3 linked regions of the Mus musculus genome follow. Each later gene encodes a partner of the first gene's protein in a complex. Links are inferred from orthologs where the notes say so. Each region holds a gene or a part of one and is shown on either strand. Other genes may lie near its edges.

Region 1 (4,334 bases):
AAGTGACTTTGTTTCCCCGGGTTGGGCCACCCATCTGTTTGCAGTTGGAGGGACTAAAGAGGCCCTTGGGTATGGCCTGTGCACCCCAGGGCCAACTAGTGGTGGCAGATGCAGGGGACAACTGCATCAAGTTGTACCAGTATCTGGGGGAGATGGCCTGAGGGGTAGGCTCTGGGGGAAATTGCCCCTTGCTAGGACTGGCCGGGCCTGAGTCCTTTGTACTATCATGGAAGGTTGGTAGGCTCCTTGGGGCCTGCTGAGCCGTCTTCCTGATACCTGGTCTTAGCTGGCTTTGTGATTTCCTCTTGGCAAGTGCCCCTGTCTACACAGAAACCATGAATCACCATTTCTTGATGAGGTTCTAAACTGGGCCATCTCCACTTCCCTATTAAGTATGCTCATAGGTTTTCATGCCCCTAAAACCCAAGGGCCACTCAGTCCCTGGCTCTGCTAGCTTGGGTCTCGGGAGGCCTGAGCTTTGAGGCAACACTTGAAGCTATAGATCCTGGGTGCTGAGGCTGTCTGCCAGCAGATAGCTAGGCAAGATCTCCTGCCAGGTGTCCAACCCCTACATCCTAATCAGAGGCAGGCAGGCAGGCAGGCAGGGAGGGTGTGGCTAGGCTGGGTTGGGCAGTTTAGGGGAAGGGTGTGGTCCCTTAGTGTTCCCCCCAGCTTCAAAAATATTCCCATTCTTGAGCCTCCAACAGCACTCTGGGCCCAACAGAGAGGTAAGGAGTAGGCAAATCAGAGGGGTAAGGCCAACATGTGTCCTGGTAGGGCACATAGCAAGGGCAGGTCCTCTACTGGACACTCCCTGTTTTGAAAGATACCTTCAGTTTTCCCTTCAATCCAGGTCCAAACCACTTTTGAGCACTTAGGTGGGGTGCTGGGACGGTTCTGGGTAGCACAGGTTCTTTCATACCCTTCCATTCAAGACAGGAAAACAGTAGCCTTTCCTCCCATGTTACAGATGAGATCTGGAAGGGGAGGGGTGTGTGTGTGTGTGTGTGTGTGTGTGTGTGTGTGTGTGTGTGTTTGAAGAGCTTACTCATTGAGAATCTGGTCTCACCCATGTTCTTCATGTGGGAAGAAGCAAGAAAAAGCTCCTTGCTTTTGCTCCTTTAGGGTGTGGGGTGGCACCCAGCCTGTCATCTGGACGTTGAGGTCAACACACATGTCACTCCTGCAGGCTAAATCAATATGCCCTGTTCATTATGTTGTGGGGGATTAATGGACAATGAAAGAAACTTTGCTTGTAAGTAGATGCTCAATAAACACTAGTTACTGCGTTGTTAGGGGTATTGCTTTCAGACTATGCGGCCCACACGGGTCTGCATGCACCCTACTCGCAATGGATAGAAACAGATGGAAGGGCCTGGGTTTAGGAGGCCAGGCGGTAAGAACAAAGCGGCTACCATGGTCCTCAAAGGCTGGATCCACCGGACCTTTCAGGATATTTACAGCGAGGGTAGCTTTGATGACAGGAGCCGCGCGCGCGGAACTCTCGGGCTCAGGCGATGGACAGCCCGGGCATGTTTGGGGACCGGACCGTCGCGCGACAACGCCGCGGAGCCGGCGGAAATGGTGCTGATGTCCCGCGGCGGGCCTGGGAGCCGCAAGCACGGTCGTCCTCCCGGGCCCGCCGAACGCAGTGCCCAACCCAGTTCCTTCCCTACCGCTCGGGGACGCGGCCCCGGGGACCAGCTGGTGAGCACTAGCGGGTGGCGGGGCCGGGAGAGGAAGAGGAGGAAATCCCGAGGTAGCGCAGGCCTCTTGGTCCTAAAGACTCTGAGATGGGAAACCTGAGGCCGGGATAGAGGGAGAGGCGGCCACCCACGCAGCTGACCTCCAGGCTCAGCGGCACCCGTTGTGGGTCTGGGCCTGCTCTCCGGAACTTGAGGGCACCGAGAGGCCCCTCCTCCCCTCCAGGCCGGGAACTGGCTGGAAGATTCCTGGGGCACTGGCTGAGAGGCTCATATTTATCCACTCCAGTAAAGATCAGAAACAGATTACCCCCTCCTTTTGAAATGAAAAAGGAAAGCATTTACAGAGGCGGAAAATGTGTTTCTGTGCAGGTTCTCTTTTAGGCTAGGTTGGCCTCAAAATCCTAGTGTAGCAAAGGATGACCTTGAATTTTTGATTGTCCTTTGGCCACCTCCTGATTACAGATATGCACTGCTACTACTGGTCTATGAGGTTCTGGGGACTCAACACAGGGTCTGGTGCAGGCTAGGTAGGCTCCATACCAACTGACTACATCCCTAGTCAGAAAAGTGGTTTTGTTGTTGTTGTTGTTGTTTGAACGTGGGGTAAATATGAACCCTCTCAAAGATTCACAAAGTAATGTTTCAGCTATGATGTGTCCCAGGTCTCTCTTAACTGGGCTGGCCATCCCTCAAGCCTGTTCCTTGCAGGGGAAGTAAGCAGTAGCTCTGCTGCTGAAGTCTGACTTGGAGTTCTGTGAAGAGACTTCCTGGGGCCTCTTATTTAACCCTCCTGGGAATGGGCTGTCGGGGAGGGAACTGACTCCTTCTTAGCAAAGGTAGCTTTTCCAGGCTTGGGCTGTTCTTTTAATCAGCATCTTTAAAGGCCTTCACGCATCCCAGGTTTTTGCCTTCTCGCTCCAGCCTCTCACCTCTTGTATCGATCGCCTGCTCTTTCATCATCATTTTCTGCTGCTGGGATCCCAGCAGCCCAGTGTAAGCACACTCCTTCTTACACTTCAGTGCATCCGGAGGCTGAGATGGGAGTGAGGGTGGGGATTTGCCTCAACTTGAGTTCTCTCAGTACCCCACAGATCAGAGCTCCAACCTCTCTCTGCCTTGCACCTTCTTTCCTTTGACCCGAGCTTTTTTGCTTTAAGGTAAACTGTAAATGAAGCATACTCCACAAGGAGGATGTGCATAGACACAGTGTGTATATAGCACAGTGGATTCACGAGTTGTGAGCAGACTCCAAACCAACCTTTGAAACATCTGTTTATAATTAGATCAAGGGCATTTCTCTTCCTACACGGTTGTGAGCATTTTTCCTTAGTTCATGTGAAGTGTTCCCCCAGAGAGTCAAATGATATTTCACTGAGCTGGTGTGTCCTTACAAAGTTGTTGAACAAGAGTTTGGGCTGGGCTGAAGGGTTCCCTATGACAGTGACCCGCCGGGGCTCTTACAGGCGGAATGGCTCTAGTATTTTTAGCCGTGCCTCATGTCATGGCCTTCTGGAGTCAGTTCCTACTGAAGGGACAAGAGAAATTGGTTCTTGACACTGGCTATGGGGATTTAGCCTGCCCTAGTGTTGGGCGTCAGGTTTTCCCTATGGACACCTACCAATTGCCTGCTTCCTCCGGGTTCTTTGGAGTTTTGTTTTCCTGGAGACTTCTGACTCAGAGTTCTATGGAAAGGCTTCCCGAGACTTCTTTAACGGCTTTTTCAGGCTTGGACTGTTCTTTTAATCAGCACCAGCATTTGGAAGTCCTACAGTGCTGGGTCCCATTAGTCCTCTCAGCATTGGGCTGGGTTATAGTTCATATGAGACCCTAGGTCTAGTCCTCAATATCAAAACCAAAAAGCTTTGCCACATTGTCCATGTGACGGCTTTGGGCTGGACAGGAAGGGAGCAGCTGCACCTGGATCCTTCAAGCTCTGGCCATTTGTCTATGGGCCAGCTACCACCACCACTTGTGTCACTGTCTATCCCCTCGACTCCAATTGTTTTGTGCAGACACTAGACCAGGAAACTAGGCTTCAGCCCAAGATCTGGGCCTCCCTCAGGAAAGGATCCAAAAATGGGGTCTTTGTTCATGGTTGCTGTGTCCTTCACTTCACATGGGCAAGATGCGGTATTGACTAAAGAAAGGCATATGTAGGCACTTGAACCTTGCCAACCATTCCAGCAGTTCAGATCAGCAGGCACAAGTGGAGGACACCCACAATCTCCAAACAGCACCTTTTCTGTGGAAGGAACAGAGTGGGGTCCACAGAGTAAAGGATTTGTAGCTACTATGGTGGTTTTTTTTTTTTTAAAGATTTATTTATTTATTACATGTAAGCACACCAGGCACACCAGAAGAGGGCATCAGATCAGATCAGATCTCACTCATTAGAGGTGGTTGTGAGCCACCTTGTGGTTGCTGGGATTTGAACTCAGGACCTTTGGAAGAGCAGTCAGTGCTCTTAACCGCTGAGCCATCTCTCCAGCCCCTGTGGTGGTGCCCCTGTGGTGGTTCTTAATGCTCACACCAAGAGCCTGAGAGGTCAGGAGGGCTGCTGTTCCCTCACAGAAAATGCGTTGACATTCTCTCATGGAGAGAAATACTGCTCTGCTGGGAGCCCCATCT
Region 2 (3,219 bases), on another chromosome or scaffold:
TCTGTGTAAACCATAGGATGGTTTGTCCTCAGCTCTCTCCTGCCACCTTGTGGTTGCAACAGAAGCTGCACGGACTCTATACCACTACTTACCTCTGAGAAGAAAAACTTTCTGATCTTTTAGCTTGCGGGAAGATTAAGGGATGGAGCTTCCTGTGCAGTACTGTGCAGAATCCTAGCTCAGCCTCATTTTTCTTTACGCTGGGATCAGAGATAACACTGCCTCACTAGGCAAGGCAGTGGCCGGCCCCGTGGACAGCATTTACGAACACCGTCCCTCCCCCCAACCCCAAGGCACACACACTCATCGTCTTACTATGTAGTCCGGATGACCTGGAACTTGCTATGTAGACCAGGCTGGTCTCGAACTCACAGAAATCCGCTAGCTTTTGCCTAAGGAGTGCTAGGATTAGGAGTGTGCTTGGCTACATTTTCTCTTAAAACTTCATTTTGCACTTTTTGCGGGAGTACACTCAGGTGTGCCACAATACATGTGTGGAGGTCAGAGGAAAATAGTTCTCCACCATGTGGGTACCGGAAGGTCGATCTCAGGTAGTCTGACCTGGCAGGAAACGCCTATACTCGCTGAGCCATCTCATCAGCACAAACTATTATTTTGCCATTTACCGATTCATACGTAAAATAATGTATCAGTCATCTTTCCGCTGCTTAAGAGGATAGATGATAGTGGCTGAGGCCAGGTGCGATTCAGGATTCAAGTTTATCAATTAGAAGTGGGGAAGGCAGCCGGGCATGGTGGTGCACGCCTTTAACCCCAGCAGAGGCAGAGGCAAGTGGATTTCTGAGTTCGAGGCCAGCCTGTTCTACAGAGTGAGTTCCAGGACAGCCAGGGCTGTCTCGAAAAACCAAAAAAAAAAAGTGGGGAAGGCTTTTCAGTGCAGAAAGACCCCACTGTCTGCTCTGGAGCGCCATGAATAAACTGTGGCAAATACGTTCCTCTCCTACTTCCAGCAGGACTAGCATAGGGGACGCCCAGCCAGAGACGATGGGATCCTTAGCTATCCGGTGCTCTCAGAGTCTTTCTGGCCTCACCCGTCAATCAAGACCACGGGGGCGGAGCCTGAGCCTGGGAGCGAAGGCAAGGTGAACTGTCCAATGAGCACGCGCGGACCGGCTCCATCGCGGGATCTGGGTTCCTCACCCCGCCCCTGCAGGGATTTGATTGGGCGGCTGGCCGGGCTGTCCCGCCTTCGTGGGGCGGTGACTGTCACCGCCAGGCGCCGAAGGGACCGGACTCCTACAGGCCTGCAAACGGTGAGTTGAGGGTCTCGAAATACGAGCGGAGGAGCTGTTGAAACCGGCTGGGGCGGGACTCGCGCCAGCTTGGCGTCTGCGCCATGGACGCCGCCGACTCCGTTTGTCTGGCTGGTTCGTTTTCGGTTCGGCCGGGTTCCCCCTGTCCTGTCTTGCCCCGCTCGGCTCGGCTCGGTTTTCTTCGGCTCGGCTCGGCTCGGCTCGGCTCTGTCCCTCCGTCGGTCAGAGACTGCAGCGGGCTCGTTGCCCCTTCTGGTCCCCGAGGCGACTGCGCCCAAGGGATGGCGCTGTCTTCGGTCTGTGCATTGACCGCGGGTGGCTCGTGACCTGGCCCCAGGTTCTGGTGCTGGTTCCCAGCCAGTCCTCGTATAGAAAGCCTCACTCAGATGTCTGAAGCGAACCCGGATTTGTAGGTCGCATTCCGCTTCCCCAGTTCACAAAAACATTATCAGTCCACCTGTCCTTCATTCTGTTTTTCAAATTGCTTACTTCCCAAAGTAATTCATGACACTTGTAGTGTTTTAAGCATGGTCTGGCAGCCGTTCTTTTGTCACTGCCTCCTCAATACTGATACCTCTGATGGGGGTCACTATAGGCAGTTTTGGAGGACACTCCTTTTTTTAAAGGCTTCTTTCTAGCCGGATGTGGTGGCTTGGGGAGGCTGATGCAGGAGGATCACAACGTTCGAGGCCAGCCTGCCGGTTCCAGCAATCCTGTCTCTAACCTACTCAGTGCTGGTACTGGCTGCTTCCCCATCCTTTCCTCTCCCTTCCCGTCGCCTGCCCTTCATCTTGTCATCTTGCATTTTTCTCATACAGTTAAAAGACCTCTCGCCTGCGCTGCGAGGGACACAGGTGGTGTCTGCAGTCGCTGGTAACCGCTGCGTGTGACGCGGAGGCTGAGGAGCCGGCACCTTCGGCCTGGGACCCCTGGACTTTCTGCGTGCCCTTGGGAAGCATGCCTGGGTGAATGAGGAGTCGGGACAAGGGGAAGATAAGACAAGAGCGCACCCGCACGAGAACAGAACTTTTCAAACAACTGAGTTTTCTTGAGACAGTTAACCTTTTAAGAAGGGAGGAAGATGATCCGGTCCCTGCCCACCATGACCGTCCTCATCCCACTGGTCTCGCTGGCAGGCCTGCTCTACTCCGCCTCCGTGGAGGAAGGCTTCCCAGAGGGCTGCACCAGCGCCAGCAGCCTGTGCTTCTACAGCTTGCTCTTGCCGGTCACCGTGCCTGTGTACGTGTTCTTCCATCTGTGGACATGGATGGGCCTGAAGCTCTTCAGACATAACTAGGGGAGCCGAGGCCCCTCCTGCTCGGGCTGCCTGCGGAGTGGGGCATGGCCGGAGGTTCCTGGCTGTTGCAGATTCTTTTGTAGCTGAAAAATACTTTTCAATAAAATGTCTTATGGGAGAGGAACACGACCAGCCTTCATCCAAAGACTGTTTCTTCTAAGATTTGTTCTTAATTGTGTGTCTGTGTGTGGGTATGCGCATGTGAGTGTGGGTGCCCAAGGAGGCCATGCAAGTGATGGGTCCCTGGAGTTGGGGGTACAGGCAGTTGTAGGCTACCGGAGCTGTGTTCAGATCATCCATAAAGGATGCGAGTTCATGTTCTTAGCCCCTGAGCCATCTCTCTGCCCGCCTATTGCCTTCTCATTTAGTTCTGGGGAACCTCAAGCTGTGAGAGGCAGACCTTGTCCTCCTTACCTTCCTGTCTCTACCTCCTGAGTGCTAAACTTATAGGCAAGAGCTCCACATCCATTCATGTGGTGCTGGAGGAACCCAGGGTTTCAGGAACGCCAAGCCAGCACTCTGCCAACCAAGCACCCAGGCCCTAAGGACTGTCTTTTTTTTAGCCCATTCATTTAAAAGTTAGTTGTTTGGAAGCCAGGCAGTGGTGACACACACACTTGGGAGGCAGAGGTGGATCTCTTGAGGGTC
Region 3 (4,169 bases), on another chromosome or scaffold:
GGGACATCGCAAATGTACAACCTGAGGTGCCCTCATTGCACAACTCAGTAGCATCTGAGCCTCCTCTAGCCAGTTTCCCCAGAGCAAGGATGGCAGAGAGACAAACACCAACGCAATTAACATTTATTTGTAAGTTTTCCCAAACAGGCCAATTGTGGTCTAGTGTGGCTGCCTGGATGTAACCCTGTGGTTCTGGGGTTTGTCAGTCTTTCCCCAGGGCTTCCTGGGTCCAGAAGTCCTCATGGAGCCTGGGAAGTGTCAGACTCGGAAGAGCTGCCTTGTGACGGGACAGGACTTGTACAGAGAGGCGGGAAGGCCTGCTCAATCCATCAGCACAGTGGGAGGAGCACAGAGGTGAGAGGAGAGAACTCGGTGGAAGGGACAGGGAGCTTTGACTGTGAGATGGACAGGACCAACCAGCAATGTTCAGCCTCTGAGCCTAAGGGAAGTGAGAGGCTTCCCAACCCACCTTTCTCTTGGCTTCTAAAAGGATGACCAAGAGAGAGAGGGCTCCAGGTTGTCAAACTGAGAAGAAAACAGCCCCATGTCCCAAAGAGGGCTGCAGTGCAGCCAGCTTGACCATCTTGTAAGCTGTGACCCTTGGTCCCTTTTCTGGAGGAGATATGGAGAAGGCCCCTACAGCCTCATCCCTGCTGGACCTTCACTGAGCCTTCTTGGTTATCTTCTGGCTCTTCAGCATCACATAGGTGATGAACAATCCTGTAATACACAGAATAGGAGGGACTGGGAGGATTGGAGTGGAAGCTAGGTGGCCAGGCATGCAAGGTCAGGCTCCCAACCAACCCCCCTAGGGGTGCATCTTTGCAGTCATTCACTAGGTCACACAGCCACTGAGGGTCAGTTAACTATCACCAAAATGGTGCAAGGCTAACCACCTGTGCATCATCCGGCCATGTGGTTCCTCAGTCAACCCAAGCACTCTTTTAGGCTCCTGGGCTAGAGCTTAGAATAGCGTAACAGCAAAGACACAGTTCCCAACCCACAGAGCCGTAAGAGATGCCAGGGTGACTTGAGGCAGGAACATTGAAGAGATGAAGATGAAGCTGAGACAGGAAAGAAAGGGGAGCCATGTCCTCATTGCCCCAGGAACCTGAAAACTGGGAACACCACTAGAGGAGCTTCTGCCCGTGGCCTTTAAGGAATAGGAAAGCCCCGGGGAGCATTGGTGACAAGGAGAGTCTAAGCAGATGTACAGCAGGTGCCAGCATGTGGAAGCACGCTGCCTTCCAGACACCCTGCCCCAGATCGGGAGACTTACCCACAAATAGGAGCAGCAGGAGGCCTGCGGCCAACGGGAGGAGGACGGCGTAGGCGCGGGGCAGGAAGTATTTGTGGATGACATGCTGGCTGTCAATGAATGGCTGGCACCAAGGGCAAGAGCTCTGGTGAGTACTGCTCACCTTACTCAGCCCCAAAGGGAAGCCGTCCCACCTCCCCCTGGCAGCACTGGATACTGAGGGCCCACCTTGATAGCATCCCCAAGCGTGGATATGTATCATAACAAGAGACCCACCATATTGTCTCTGTATTGTTGAATACTGCCTGGGCCTTGTGAGTGCTGGAAACCATCCTTTTTGATTTCTGAGGCCCTGGCTGACCTCACCAAGCTGCCCTCCCCCCTTCTTCTGCCTTCTGAGAACTCTAGGTCTTTTAAAGAGGTCTTTATTTTTTGATCATGCATTTGTGCCTGTGAGTCCAGGTGTACTTTCATCCAAGCCCTGGATCTCCAATCTAACTCCTAACACAACTTAAGCAGCAATGGCGTTCCGTTCCAGGGACTTTTGCTGGGTCTCCTGGAGCTGGAGTTACAGATGGTTGTAGCTGGCCATGTGGGTGCTGGAACTTGAACCCCAGTCCTCTGGAGAATCAGCCAGTTCTCTTCATCACCGAAGGTCAGCCCACCTAACTTTCCTCTCTGAAGGATACCAAGTACTGCAAGATGCCCCTTTCCAAGCACAGTGTACTTTAAAACAATAACTAACAAAATTTCCCACATTAAAGAGAGAGGCAGAGAGAGAGAGAGAGAGAGAGAGAGAGAGAGAGAGACTTGAGATGTTAATAAACTCCACCGGCGACTGCTACACCCAGGAACCTGCTGGCTAACCAGGAGGACAAACACAAAATAAAGCCTCACTGTGCGGCAGTTCAGAGGCTGAGAAACAGCCTTCTCCCCGAGTCTTAGCCTCCTCATCTATAAAATGTAGACACCATCTGCAAGCACCATAGTGTAGATTTCGTGAGATTAGAGCTAGCTAAACATCCAGACGCTGGCACACAGACGCTGATTAAGTCGCGTTAGGAAACTGGCTTAGAGATCCAGAGCAAAATGAAGGTGAGCGGGGTGGGGGTGGGGCACACATACCAAGAGAATCACCCAAGTGGTGTAGTAGGTGAAGATGATCAAGCTAACGGCGACAAGGCCAAATCCTACTGCTTGGTCTGTCCCGGTGGCCTGGAGAAAAATAAAGGCTCAGCAGGCGAGATGGCTCGTGTACAAGCACTAACGGAGGGTCGGAGCAGCCGGTTTACACTCCAAACCTCTCATTCATTTAGAACCACGGAGGGCTTACTAGAAGTGGCTCTCGGGTTTAGAAAGCCACGTCAGGCCTCGTGTCACCTGTCTGCAAGCGGTGGAGAGAGCGATCTGGGTTTGGAGAGCCCAACTCCATCTCCCAAGGAGACTCTTACTCAGAGCCCCGACCCCTGGTACCCTCAAATCACACATGTACTCCACCCCAGGCTCACCATCTCTCCAGCGTTCCGCCGGAGCAACAAAATACATCCGGTTCCTGGTTTAGGCCTTTCCGGCTTGTAAATCACGTGACACGCGGAGACTCGTCTGAGCTGACGTGCGGGCACTTTTCCCCGCCCTCCAGTGCATGTCGGGAAATGTAGTTTCTGCAGGGAACTGTAGGGCCGGGAGCTCAGACTTTCAGGTTTTTGTGGCTACATCCCTGTCAGACCCTTCCCAAACAATAATCATTTAAACATTATCCTACAGTCCCAAGCCAGAGTGAGATGTACCCCAGAGTTGGAAGTCCCGGAAAGGGATAGATCATAATGAGTTGGTTGTTGAAGCAGACATCAGAATTCAAAGGCTCTACATTCTGGCCTTGAAACTGTTAATGGAAGAGTCTGTATAGAATGACCACCACTGGCCTGGCCTATGAGAATTTCCACTGGTTGGCTTCCTAGGGAACTTTCTAGGCTTCCCTTCATTGTCCACTGCCAGAGGTTTCAGAATGGCCCTCTTAGAACCAAGGGGCGCTGGGCCAAATTATCTTTCATGCTTTTCTTCTGTTTCTCACCCAGAACACTACTCTCATGGCATATGGGGCTAGCTGCTGTAGATCCATTCTTCTCCAAATGCTACACCATGCAGGTTATCCATTTCTGCAACCAGAGGCAACAGCTCCCTCTTTGTGCCCTGACAGGTATTTTTAACCAGTTTCTTCGATGATTAGGACCAAAAGTGGGGCTTTAAGATCCCCGAATTGATGCTGGGCATGGTGGTGCATTTCTGTAGTCCCAACACTCTGGAGGCATGAGGAGTAGTAGGTCTCCTTAAACCTCATGGCTAAAGGAAACCTTATAAATACCAAATAAAAACGTTTTATTCTTTCCCCAAAACCAGAGTGAGACACCGTCTCAAACAAGAAGAGGTTCAGGAGTAACAGGTGTTCTCCGACCTTTGTCAAGTGCCCATTCATATTCATACAAACATGTGTGGACATATATGTAATATGTATGTGTGTGTTTGTGGTGAGCATTATGACTGGGGTCAGACTGGAGAACACTAACCTACTTTCCCCAGCATGTCATCTTACACATACATGGCTAACTCCTGTTAGCAGCCCCCAAGTCAACACGGTGATGAGAATGAAAAGAAACACCAACAAAAAGCAGTAACAAAAACATCGGCATTTAATTCCACCCCCAAACCAAACATTGACACTAGGCTGATTTCCCCATATGACATAATTTTCTATTATAAGCTGAGACAGATATGAACAGCCCACGGAATGGGGTGCAGTGGTAACCTGGTTAGAAAGGAATAACACAAAAGCAAATTCTCCCCACAGAAGAAGATGGGCCTGCTCATCCTGCCAGACCACGTGGTCAGCTGTAGGGTAACCAGAAAAGAACCC

Evidence for each region.
Region 2: Pigq (region 1) and Pigyl share a complex: the UniProt entries of both Homo sapiens proteins name them as parts of the glycosylphosphatidylinositol-N-acetylglucosaminyltransferase (GPI-GnT) complex. The link is inferred for Mus musculus from reciprocal best matches to the Homo sapiens genes PIGQ and PIGY.
Region 3: Pigq (region 1) and Dpm2 share a complex: the UniProt entries of both Homo sapiens proteins name them as parts of the glycosylphosphatidylinositol-N-acetylglucosaminyltransferase (GPI-GnT) complex. The link is inferred for Mus musculus from reciprocal best matches to the Homo sapiens genes PIGQ and DPM2.

Annotation. Positions count from the first base shown.
Region 1 is NC_000083.6:25,939,188-25,943,521, reverse strand, and holds the start of Pigq (phosphatidylinositol N-acetylglucosaminyltransferase subunit Q), read left to right. Parts: upstream 1-1,532; 5' UTR 1,533-1,707; intron 1,708-4,126; exon of another isoform or gene 4,127-4,334. Other genes in the region: Nhlrc4 (NHL-repeat-containing protein 4), read left to right, coding at 1-161. UniProt on the Homo sapiens protein: Part of the glycosylphosphatidylinositol-N-acetylglucosaminyltransferase (GPI-GnT) complex that catalyzes the transfer of N-acetylglucosamine from UDP-N-acetylglucosamine to phosphatidylinositol and participates in the first step of GPI biosynthesis.
Region 2 is NC_000075.6:22,155,640-22,158,858, forward strand, and holds Pigyl (phosphatidylinositol N-acetylglucosaminyltransferase subunit Y precursor), read left to right. Parts: upstream 1-1,206; 5' UTR 1,207-1,274; intron 1,275-2,092; 5' UTR 2,093-2,355; coding exon 2,356-2,571; 3' UTR 2,572-2,716; downstream 2,717-3,219. UniProt on the Homo sapiens protein: Part of the glycosylphosphatidylinositol-N-acetylglucosaminyltransferase (GPI-GnT) complex that catalyzes the transfer of N-acetylglucosamine from UDP-N-acetylglucosamine to phosphatidylinositol and participates in the first step of GPI biosynthesis.
Region 3 is NC_000068.7:32,569,510-32,573,678, reverse strand, and holds Dpm2 (dolichol phosphate-mannose biosynthesis regulatory protein), read right to left. Parts: upstream 2,822-4,169; 5' UTR 2,770-2,821; coding exon 2,767-2,769; intron 2,474-2,766; coding exon 2,384-2,473; intron 1,383-2,383; coding exon 1,280-1,382; intron 721-1,279; coding exon 662-720; 3' UTR 108-661; downstream 1-107. UniProt on the Homo sapiens protein: Regulates the biosynthesis of dolichol phosphate-mannose. Regulatory subunit of the dolichol-phosphate mannose (DPM) synthase complex; essential for the ER localization and stable expression of DPM1.